Linked DNA regions of Xenopus tropicalis. The protein of the gene in region 1 interacts with the protein of each later gene in a pairwise test. Links are inferred from orthologs where the notes say so. Each region holds a gene or a part of one and is shown on either strand. Other genes may lie near its edges.

Region 1 (3,656 bases):
ATGTAGTTGGTTAGCCAGTGCCATCTCAGGGCTAAGTGACACCCTGAGGCAGCCAAGTCACAAAGCACAACAGCACTCTCTGCACTCGGTTTAGGTTTAGAGTAGGTTAAAATTTGGGCAACCATTGCAGAATAGGGTTTGGATAAGACTTGGCAAGTACACCCCTCCTCAGCTCTTAAAGATTCCCTTTCTTGGAATGAGAGGGCGCACAGATGCAGGCGCGCATTTGATAAGTCTGTGCCCCGAGGCTGCCGCCTTTTTGGCCAAACTTGTAATACACTTCATTTTGTTTATGTATTTATAAAGGCTACACCAGTTCACTGACAATCATTCTTTTTGTGTGAAATGTAATTCTGTATACACCCCAGTGAAGTGCAGAATAACATTTTGGACATTGGTTGTGTGTCAGGAGCTGGGGCTGTAATAATGTGACCATCCACTTACTGCAGGCTTAATGCAGCAAAGTGGCCCCTCCCAAGTAAATCAGTGCAGTGGCAAGCAAAGGAACTTGATCACTTAAATACTTGACAAGTGATGGCTGCTAACGATCTATTGCAAAGTATTTCCACTGAATATCCTCTGGTAGTATAGAAAATGCTCATCATGTATCCAGCATCAGGTTAATAGAATAACCTTTGTCAGCAGCCACAGCACTAACAGTAACAGTGCACATACAGTAAGTTTGTCTTCAATGGATGTACCAACTTTATTTGTACTTAAAGGAGAAGGAAAGTTTAAATCACCGGGGGTGTCAAAATGTTAGGCACCGCCCAGTGATTATGATTGCTTACCTGATACCCTGGGCCAGTGCAGTTTTTAGTGAACAGGAGCACTGGCCCAGGCTATCTCTGCAGAAGATTCTCATCGTCATCTTCTTCATAGTCTTCCTTCTTCTTTTCGTTCTGGTTCAGGAAATTAGAGGAAGAAAGATAGCGCCGAAAACTTCTACAGGAATACCCCAGGCCTGTGCAGTTTTATGCTAACAGGAGCACTGGCCCGGGGTATCAGGTAAGTGATTCAATAACTCCCCCAGTAAGCAAACCTAACATTTGGCACCCTCCAGTGATTTAGACTTTTCTTCTCCTTTAAGATATATCTAGAGTAAATTTGCAAACATCTGTAGAAGGAGAGTTGTCATATCAGAATAATATTTGCTTCTGCAGGATATGTAGCATAGTTTGGAGTGTTCTGTGTTGAACCACACCAAAATGAATTTTTGATGTGCATTTGCTGCTCTGTTTTGCAGTATAAGCGAATCCCTTTTACGTATCATTGTGGTTGACCTGAGAATGTTCCTTATTACGCTCAGGTGCTGGATTCCCAGTCTGTACATTTGCAGCAGTTTTTGCCTCTTCTGCTTCAACTTGGCTTGCCTTTGCCAGGGGTAAATCATGCTCTAAGAGCATTCTTTCTCTGAAGGAGAGCTTGTTTTTTTTTTTTTTTTTTACTAATCTACTTTTCCTCTAAAGGCAACTTCCGCGATTTTGGGAAATCGTGACGCCGCATATGCCATCCCATCGGCGATTTACATTCAAGCCGGTGGGATGGCATATCGGGGAGATTAGTCGCCTGCGACAAGGGAGATTTGTCGCGGGCGAATAATCTCCCCGTCTGCCCCAGTCCTTAACTTACCAAACTACCAGGTAAATACCAACTCTCGTAAAGATGCTACACATTGTTTGTAGATTCACCATTATATTGTCCACATTGAAGTAATTTATATCATGCAGCAACCACATTTACTTTTGGCACAAAAAAGTTGTGTATTGAAAAAATATTGTCTACATGCTCCTGAACAGTGAATAAGTAAAGTGTACTTTCCAGCAGAAGGTAGCTTTCCTTGGTTAGCAGTTAAGTATAGAAGATTCAAAAATATAAATCTGGAAGGCACACCAGGGCATGGAAGAAAGAAGGTACATCCTTGTTGCCAATGACCTCTACTGGCCAGATATATAAACAGCACAGAAAGTAGAGTAGAAAAAATAATTTTTTTAAAATTAGAACTTGTGTACCAGGAAATACAAGCAGAAAACTGATTATGTGTAAACATAATTGCAAATGTTGCACAGTTATATTTTATTTCACTTACTTTGAAACACAGAAACAAAGATAACAGATATTGTGGCATGCACAAAAGTGTGGCTCCTAAACTTAAAACATGTGAGATATTTATAATTATAAGCACAAAGAAAAAAGAACTTGAAGTCCTCATTTCTAACGTTGAGCAACAACTTTCCATTTGTGTTTTCTTTGATTTATGAAGTGCAAGGTACTGCTCACTGAATTTTATCTGCCTTGGTCAGATGGTGAGAACAGCGCCGGAAATCCAATCCTGGCGCCTCGAGGCCATCCCCCATTCATGCAGATTTAAAAATTATACAAACCTTAAAGCACCTATGCACTTGTATTTAACCCTTTAGTAGCAGGCTCGGATTTGTGGCAAGGTCACAAAGGCCCGGGCCTAGGGCAGCAGAAATTTAGGGGTGGCATGCCGCCTAGCCGCACCAGGTCGCGCAGAAACTTTAGAGCATCCTCTCCCCTCGGCGCATGCGTGCGGCTTGGGTGCCGAGGTGGGCGGCCTCGGGTGCCCTATTGAGAAATCCGGCCCTGTTTAGTAGCCTAATTTGCAAGTTAGGATTCGGAATCAGTTTTTGGAATCTGCACGGTGCTTACTTAAAATTTAAAAGGGTATTAACAAAACCTGTTTCTTTTTGTGTTTTGTTACAGAAGAAAGAAAATATCCTGAAAGAAAAAGAAAATGACAGACTTCAAGAGAGAACTCAAGAAATTTACATGAACTGGAAAGAAGCACAAGAAGTGAAACAAAAATTAGAAAAAGAAGATAAAGAATGGCAGGAATCGTGTAAGTCGTTGTACAAAAACAGTTGAATGCAAATGTTTGGGCACCCTTTGCCAAACTTACATATTTAGTTTTGTAAGTGAAAAAGTAGGAAACAATTACTGCAAGTATCAGTCATGTTAAAATGTTACAGATGTTAATGCAAAGTTACATGGTGTTTCATAAACTTTATATCATAGAAACAAACACAGGTGGAAGCAAATAGTTATTGTGGTATGTGCAGAACTTTGGAAAAGCTTTGTCAGTATTCACAGCTAATAAACACGTTCCCACAGATCTTCAATAATGTTAAAGTCAGGGGACTGTGAGGGCCATTCCAAAACCTTCAGCTTGCTTTTATTCAAGTAGCTCATGGTGGATTTTGAGGTTAAGTTTTTCAGAATTTGCTAATATGGTGGAATTCATGTTTCCTTCTACATGTACAAGGTGTCTGCTGCCACAAAACTTGAAAGCTTAATAGATCCACCTTCATGTTTAACACCTGGCAAGGTGTTTTTTTTTAATCAATGGTTGTGATAGTGATGTGTGGGTTGACCTGCAACCCGCAGGTTTACCCTTAGGTAAGACGGGTCACAGTTGAAATTTGGGAAACCATTGCAGGTTCAGGTTGGGTGCGGGTCAGTTTGGGGATTTACACTTCTGCTTTGCTTCTGAAGTTCCATGTCTTTGGGAACTGTGGTGCCTGCAGAAGTGGGGTACAGAGTGCAAAGACATGGGTACAGGTTGGGTGCAGGTCCTACATTGACAACATTTTGTGGGTTAGGGTCGGGTGTCAGTTAAGGTTTTGCAGGTTAGG
Region 2 (3,656 bases), on another chromosome or scaffold:
AGCAGTTTGTGTATCTGATTATTCCCCAGCTGGAGTTCACGCGTGGTTTAGTCATGCTGGTGCTGGAGAAGCTTGCAGTGGACATCCCGTTACTGCTATATGATGACATTCTGTTTTGTCACCTTGTGGATGAAGTACTTTTGTTTCAGAGAGAACTTTACACATCACATGGTTATCCCAGCAATCTCCCAAACTGCATGCACATTCTATCTGAAGAAACCTGTTTTCAAAGATGGCTGACAGTGGAGAGAAAATGTAAGAATGCTTTGCATTAGTTGTGACTATTTCTAATTGATTTTTTTGCGCCTGAACCTGTCATTTTGCGTTCTTAAAGGAGAATGAAAGGCTAATAAAGAGTTAATCTCAAGCTGCAGGCATACCTTCAGTTGTCTCAATAGTGCCCTTATGTCTCCCCATATTTCTCCTGTTCAGATGATCAGAAGCCTCATAGGAAAAAAAAAATGCTGAGCTCTGTAAAGAAAGTACCCATAATGCCTTGGTCCTGAACTAATACCAAGATCGGTGTACATACGCAGTTTGTAAGACTATGAGGAAGCTGATTGGCTCAGATCCACATTCCTAAGGAGGGGGCGAGTGAGTTCTTAGTATTCTTGAGGGAGGGGGGAGCAGGAGAGAGGAGAGCTGCGTGTCTCTGGCACAGGAAAACAAAGACAACAAAACCTGTTTCTTTTGAGAAAGGACTGCAGTGTTTCTGTGAGTGCTTATGGCTGTATTTACATAGACCTTTCTGATAAAACTTACTTAGTTTTTACCTTTCCTTCTCCTTTAACGCTAAGACTTTTAATTAACTGTTAATAGTGACCATCTTATAAGCACAATTAAATTCTGATTAATATATCCATTAGTTAAATGTGAACTTTTATTCTTTCTGTGTACCCCTCCTCCCTATCCCATATTGAAAAATGTATGATACAAAAAAAACCCCCTGCAAATGTTAATGCGCATATATTTTATTTCATTAATGTTAAATGTTGGCACAAGGGTGTCCAAACTTTTGTATGTGCCTTACATACTATTCTCTTTGTTCCTATGCTTTATTAACACCCCCTTTGGCTCAGATAACAGCTGGTTAATGGCTTTTGCATCTATCTTTAAATATTTCACATTTAGTTGTATGGATTTTTACCACTTTCCATTCAGATAATTTGTCATTTTTAACTGTTTAAGATCTAACCACAGATTTTTAATGATGTTTGAGTCAGGGTACTGTGAGAGCAATCCCAAATCCTTCAGCTTGCTTTTCTCATTATTGTGGCTTGTCAGGTATGTTTAGGATCATTGTCTTGGTGTAGGATCCAGCCCCATTTTAGCTTCAGCCAAAGAGTTGAATTTGGACTTCATCAGTCCCTGCACTTTTTGCCAAAAGCACTCTGGTTTGTCTAGATGCTGTTTTACATGCCTCAGACATTGATGTCTGTGATTAGGTTGCTTGTAAGGCTTCCTCCTGTTGACTGTGTAACATGACTGCTGTGTCAGCCAATTCTTCCTGCTAGTCTTTTGTACCCATATGAGGGTTTGTTTTTCTGAAAGTTTTCACATATTGCATTGACTTCCAATGCTTTGCAAGCTGGAGCATTTTTATATATCCCTCTCCTGCTTTGTAGGCATCAATTGGCTTTATTTTCAGATCGTCGCGTAGTTGCTAAAGGAGCCTGTAATTGCCGAGTGACAGCCCAAAGTTTGGGGTCTCAGAGATTTTATTAAGTCCACAGGTAACAACTCCTATGGTTATTAAGGCCTAATGAACCAATTAGGGTGAAAGATGTTGCAAAAACAGCATTTATCACTGAACAATTAAAAAGATGTCCAAACTGTTGCACATGCCACAATTACCGTATCTACTCGAGTATAAGCCGATCCGAATATAAGCCGAGGTACCTAATTTTACCTAAGAAAACTGTAAAAACGTATTGACTCGAGTATAAGCCTAGGGTGGGAAATGCAGCAGCTACTGTGGCTATGAGTTCCTGGATTGTTATACATGGAATTGCCCTGGCATTCGGCACGCACGTGCAAATTAACTCTGCCATTATCTGCATATCAGCAAATAATAATATTAATGACATTGGCTACTGATTCCCTGTGATGGAGCTGTTTGCCTCAAGGCAAGGTAATTTGATTGTGTACAATTTGTACCAGTTATGATGGCTAAGGCTAGGAGGTGTTTTCTCCACTGGTGTGTGATCTGCTGCCCTCTGCCCTGAGTTTTAGTATGCCCTGAATTTCACCCCCTGTGTGCATTGACAGTCAGCTACCATGCTTGTTAGTGTGTACTTGGATATACAAAAAAAAGTTCCCAGACAAGAAAATATGGCTCTACTTAGACCAATGCAGCCTCAGACAAACAGAGCCATGGCTTGATATTGCAGAACAAAAAATTAGTTAAGTTATATTTCTTTCAACTAGATTTGTGATCACAAACGCATAAAATAAAGACCATGATGCTCACCTTACAAATACAATGTAAGTACGCTTATGGCAGGTTTCCATTTCATTATATACAGTCAGCTTGATACATGCTCATTCTTAAATGCACTGTAATAGATCAATCTGGCGTTCAGTGGGTGAGCTGTGCAGCTGTGCCAGCAAATCACTAATGAATACGGGAAAGAGGCACCTCTTGTGAAACTATTCGGCGTGCGAGCCGAATGCCAGCACAGCCTATATACTCGAGTATAAGCCAAGCATGAGTTTTTAAGCACATTTTTCGGCTTATACTCGAGTATATACGGTATTTTCTTTTGGTGAAATTAAATGTAACTCCTGCAGTTGTTTCCTACTTTTGACTTGTAAAATGAATTAAATGTTATTTAGCAAGGGCGACAAAACGTTTGCATTGAGTATCATCTTTTCAAAAGTTTAAAATGTGTTTGTTGCATCAATGTTTTTCTAGTGGCTCTAGAAAAGATGGATTCCATGCTGTCTGCTGAGGCTGCCTGGACCTCACAATATAAAGATATATCTGATGTGGATGAAATGAAGGTTCCAGATTCTGCTGAAACATTTATGACTCTCCTACTTGTTATCACAGGTAACTCAAAGGCTGTCCCAAACAGTGCTACCTCAGTCTACTTCTTTTCATGCTAGGAGAGCCCACTATAACAGATATTAATTTATCACCCAGTGACCAAATGCTACTTTGTTCATTTAACTATAAGGCTTATAGCACATGAGCCAAAAAAACTCAAATAAGCTCTCTTGCAACCTGTTCATGTGAATGGAATCTAATTCTAATAACATAGATGTGGCATATGAAATAAATGAGATCCTTGAGCATTGCTACTATGTATTCAGACTTTTAACATGCAACTACCCATAGTTCCTCTGGTGGCCCCACTTATTATAATGTTGATGGTTGTATGAGCTTGTGTTTTTTTTAGACAGGTACAGAAATTTGCCCACAGCATCCAGAAAGCTAAAATTCCTGGAGCTGCAAAAGGACTTAGTTGATGACTTCAGGATACGTTTAACACAAGTGATGAAGGAAGAGAGCAGAGATCCCCTGGGCTTCAGATATTGTGCAATACTCAATGCTGTCAACTACATTGCAACAGTTCTTGGAGATTGGGCTGACAATGTTGTAAGTAAGACCCATACTATTAATTGCCGCCACTGGGGCATACTCAGTCTTTTAT
Region 3 (3,304 bases), on another chromosome or scaffold:
TGTCTTGATCTCGTTGGTTCCTTGCCGGGCCAGCGCCAAGATGGTGTGGTTGACGGCTGCCATTTCCACTGCTAATGAGATTGGGTCTTGATGGTCGCTATGGCTCGTACTGTCATCCTAAGCATGTAAGGGGGGAAATGAGAGCCGTTAAATACAAGTCAAAGTCCCGAACACAAGAGATAAATAATATCAATCTCTCTCTCTCACTGACTGCTAATATCCTTATCATTTACAGTAGGGGGTACATTATCCCTTATAATACATGAGTGATACTCAGAGTTCCCTGTATAACTCAGCCTGCAGCCTTGTGCCTTTATATGGGCACAGAACCCCTCAGTGACTGCTAATATCCTTATCATTTACAGTAGGGGGTACATTATCCCTTATAATACATGAGTGATACTCAGAGTTCCCTGTATAACTCAGCCTGCAGCCTTGTGCCTTTATATGGGCACAGAACCCCTCAGTGACTGCTAATATCCTTATCATTTACAGTAGGGGGTACATTATCCCTTATAATACATGAGTGATACTCAGAGTTCCCTGTATAACTCAGCCTGCAGCCTTGTGCCTTTATATGGGGGGCACAGAACCCCTCAGTGACTGCTAATATCCTTATCATTTACAGTAGGGGGTACATTATCCCTTATAATACATGAGTGATACTCAGAGTTCCCTGTATAACTCAGCCTGCAGCCTTGTGCCTTTATATGGGCACAGAACCCCTCAGTGACTGCTAATATCCTTATCATTTACAGTAGGGGGTACATTATCCCTTATAATACACGAGTGATACTCAGAGTTCCCTGTATAACTCAGCCTGCAGCCTTGTGCCTTTATATGGGGGGCACAGAACCCCTCAGTGACTGCTAATATCCTTATCATTTACAGTAGGGGGTACATTATCCCTTATAATACATGAGTGATACTCAGAGTTCCCTGTATAACTCAGCCTGCAGCCTTGTGCCTTTATATGGGCACAGAACCCCTCAGTGACTGCTAATATCCTTATCATTTACAGTAGGGGGTACATTATCCCTTATAATACATGAGTGATACTCCAGCAGGAGGTTGCTGAGTGGCGGGGCTCCCAGTTGGCAGTTGCTGGTCGGAGTGGCACAATACAGGTTCCTTTTGGGCACAGCTGTATGAGTGGTTATTTCCCACCAGTGTAATTAAGTGCCTGCGCTCTGTAGCTTTTCATTAAATCATACAAATAAAGATGCTTATTTAGTTTCCTCAGTCCCAAAATAACCGCTATTAAAATCAAGGAAAATGTGCCGGGGGGGGGGGGGGGGGGGGAGCGAGACTGGCGTTGTTGGGAGGGCCCTAATTATCTCTCAGCACTGGGACCAATGAAATTACGCCATTCCAGGTTCTTAATTATAATTTTTCAACCAAACGATGTGTTCTTCTCATAAAAACCAGACATCAAGTTTAAAACAACAAGGTAGATAGTAGCGGTTTTTCGGCTAAAAGTTGCGCAGCACAGCCGCCATGTTACCCCCTTGTCCCTGTGTATGGAGCCAAACACTGATAGCCTGCCCTACCCATTACTGGCCAGGGAATAGCAAGATATCTACTGGGCAGGTTTGAATAGGCCCTATTTATTACCCAAATGATTGCCCCCTGGGAGCCATTAAGGTGAAGACACACAGGGCTACTTAGTAGCAGCTACTTTTTCACGGCTACTATGCAAGAAAATATCCTGCCATAGACAATACTGAGAATTGCCTCTGCTAAAACACACAGACAATTATCAGTAATTGATCAGCACTATTTCTGTAGCTGCTACTAGTAGCTCTGTGTGTCTTCACCCTTAGGCAACACCTTATTTGTTTGGAGATCTCCCCATTGGGAACAGTATCATTACAAAGCCCGGCTGAACTACAGGGCACTGTAATATCAACTCATAGATGCAGCAGAACCCTCTGGAGATCCCAACCAACCCATCAGCTGAGAGCTATTTACAAACCTGTGCAATAATAAGCAGGAATGTATGAGGAGCCCGAGAAGCAAATACCCAGTACTGACCTTGATGGAGCGCTGTTCCATATCCCCCATTCCCTTTATTCAGCTATAGGGGGAGCAGAGAGGAGAAGCCCAGGTGCTCACCTGTTCCGAATAATCATTTCCATCCACGTCGTCGCTGTTGGAATGACCCCCGGGGCTCTGTACATCGATCCCATGACTCTCCAGGATTGCTGCTTCTTCGAAAAAAGCAAACATGGCCCTAAATTATCTGCAATGGCAACGTCAGTATTCCTAGGGGTACGAGAATGATGGGGGGGAGACAAAGGCATTCCTGCAGATAAAGGGGAAGTAATGCAAACTTTCTGTAATAATTATTAAGGGGGGTTGAAGGCCAAACAAATTACTAACACGGGATAGTGCCAATTCCCCTGTTTAGAGCAAGAAATAACAATAGGCAAAAGGTTTGGAGCAGCCTTGGCACGAGGGGGGTCCATTTAGGAGCCTGGCACTCGTGTGTTACTACGGCCTATGCTACACGCTGCCGACATAATGACAGATGGCAGAAATGGCTGAACAAACTGCAGGAATGTGGCCCATAATATAGGGGTGCCAGGGTGCCATGCTGGGGGCTGCTGCTTGCCCTGGCACATTACCAATGTTGGCTCGTCTCTTGATCTCCTTCCTCCTATTAGCGAACCAGTTGTAGACTTTCAGCGAGGTGACCCGCTCCAGGTCCGACAGCTTCTTGCCTGCACAAACACAGAGAGGAGACAATAAATGTCACTGTTCTGCTTATAGAGATATTGGGGCTCATCTGCAATCTGTGCAGGACCAGGCGCAAATGCCCCCGTTACTCCTCTATAACAAAGCTCTGGCCCCTACGTGCCCCCATCTACACTAGTGCTGCCTGCCAATGTGCCAGTTGCCCCTCTATAACAAAGCTCTGGTCTCTACCTGCCCCTACCTACACTAGTGCTGCCTGCCAATGTGCCAGTTGCCCCACTTTGGTGGAGGGAGCACTGTACCTACAATCTGCTTTGCCCAAGTGGAACGTACCACCTTATTTTTTATTGCCCCGCTACTATACACCTTCTTAAACAACCCCCTCCCTGGCTGCTGGGGTAAATCAAGTTCCCCTTTACTAGTGCTGGGCCAACGTTCACCTTGAGAGTGCAAGAGAGCGCTAGAGCGCTGTGTGTGTACGAGGCACCTACACTGAGCCAAGCCGGCCCTGGCACTGCCGCTGAGCAGCCTGGCACCCTACCAAGGCCCTTAATAGCAAATGAATTATTGTGCAGACATGAATTATGTAGATGGCGGTGATTTCTAC

The links.
Region 2: the proteins of sh2d4a (region 1) and rint1 interact in binary tests that used the Homo sapiens proteins (3 or more experiments, as listed by UniProt). The two-hybrid records come from large-scale screens. The link is inferred for Xenopus tropicalis from reciprocal best matches to the Homo sapiens genes SH2D4A and RINT1.
Region 3: the proteins of sh2d4a (region 1) and hmbox1 interact in binary tests that used the Homo sapiens proteins (3 or more experiments, as listed by UniProt). The two-hybrid records come from large-scale screens. The link is inferred for Xenopus tropicalis from reciprocal best matches to the Homo sapiens genes SH2D4A and HMBOX1.

What each region holds. Positions count from the first base shown.
Region 1 is NC_030677.2:96,289,669-96,293,324, reverse strand, and holds part of sh2d4a (SH2 domain-containing protein 4A), read left to right. Parts: intron 1-2,727; coding exon 2,728-2,863; intron 2,864-3,656. UniProt on the Homo sapiens protein: Inhibits estrogen-induced cell proliferation by competing with PLCG for binding to ESR1, blocking the effect of estrogen on PLCG and repressing estrogen-induced proliferation. May play a role in T-cell development and function.
Region 2 is NC_030679.2:77,082,505-77,086,160, reverse strand, and holds part of rint1 (RAD50-interacting protein 1), read left to right. Parts: intron 1-29; coding exon 30-255; intron 256-2,914; coding exon 2,915-3,052; intron 3,053-3,401; coding exon 3,402-3,601; intron 3,602-3,656. UniProt on the Homo sapiens protein: Involved in regulation of membrane traffic between the Golgi and the endoplasmic reticulum (ER); the function is proposed to depend on its association in the NRZ complex which is believed to play a role in SNARE assembly at the ER.
Region 3 is NC_030681.2:151,828,292-151,831,595, forward strand, and holds part of hmbox1 (homeobox-containing protein 1), read right to left. Parts: intron 2,724-3,304; coding exon 2,628-2,723; intron 2,211-2,627; coding exon 2,116-2,210; intron 124-2,115; coding exon of another isoform or gene 118-123; coding exon 1-117. UniProt on the Homo sapiens protein: Binds directly to 5'-TTAGGG-3' repeats in telomeric DNA. Associates with the telomerase complex at sites of active telomere processing and positively regulates telomere elongation.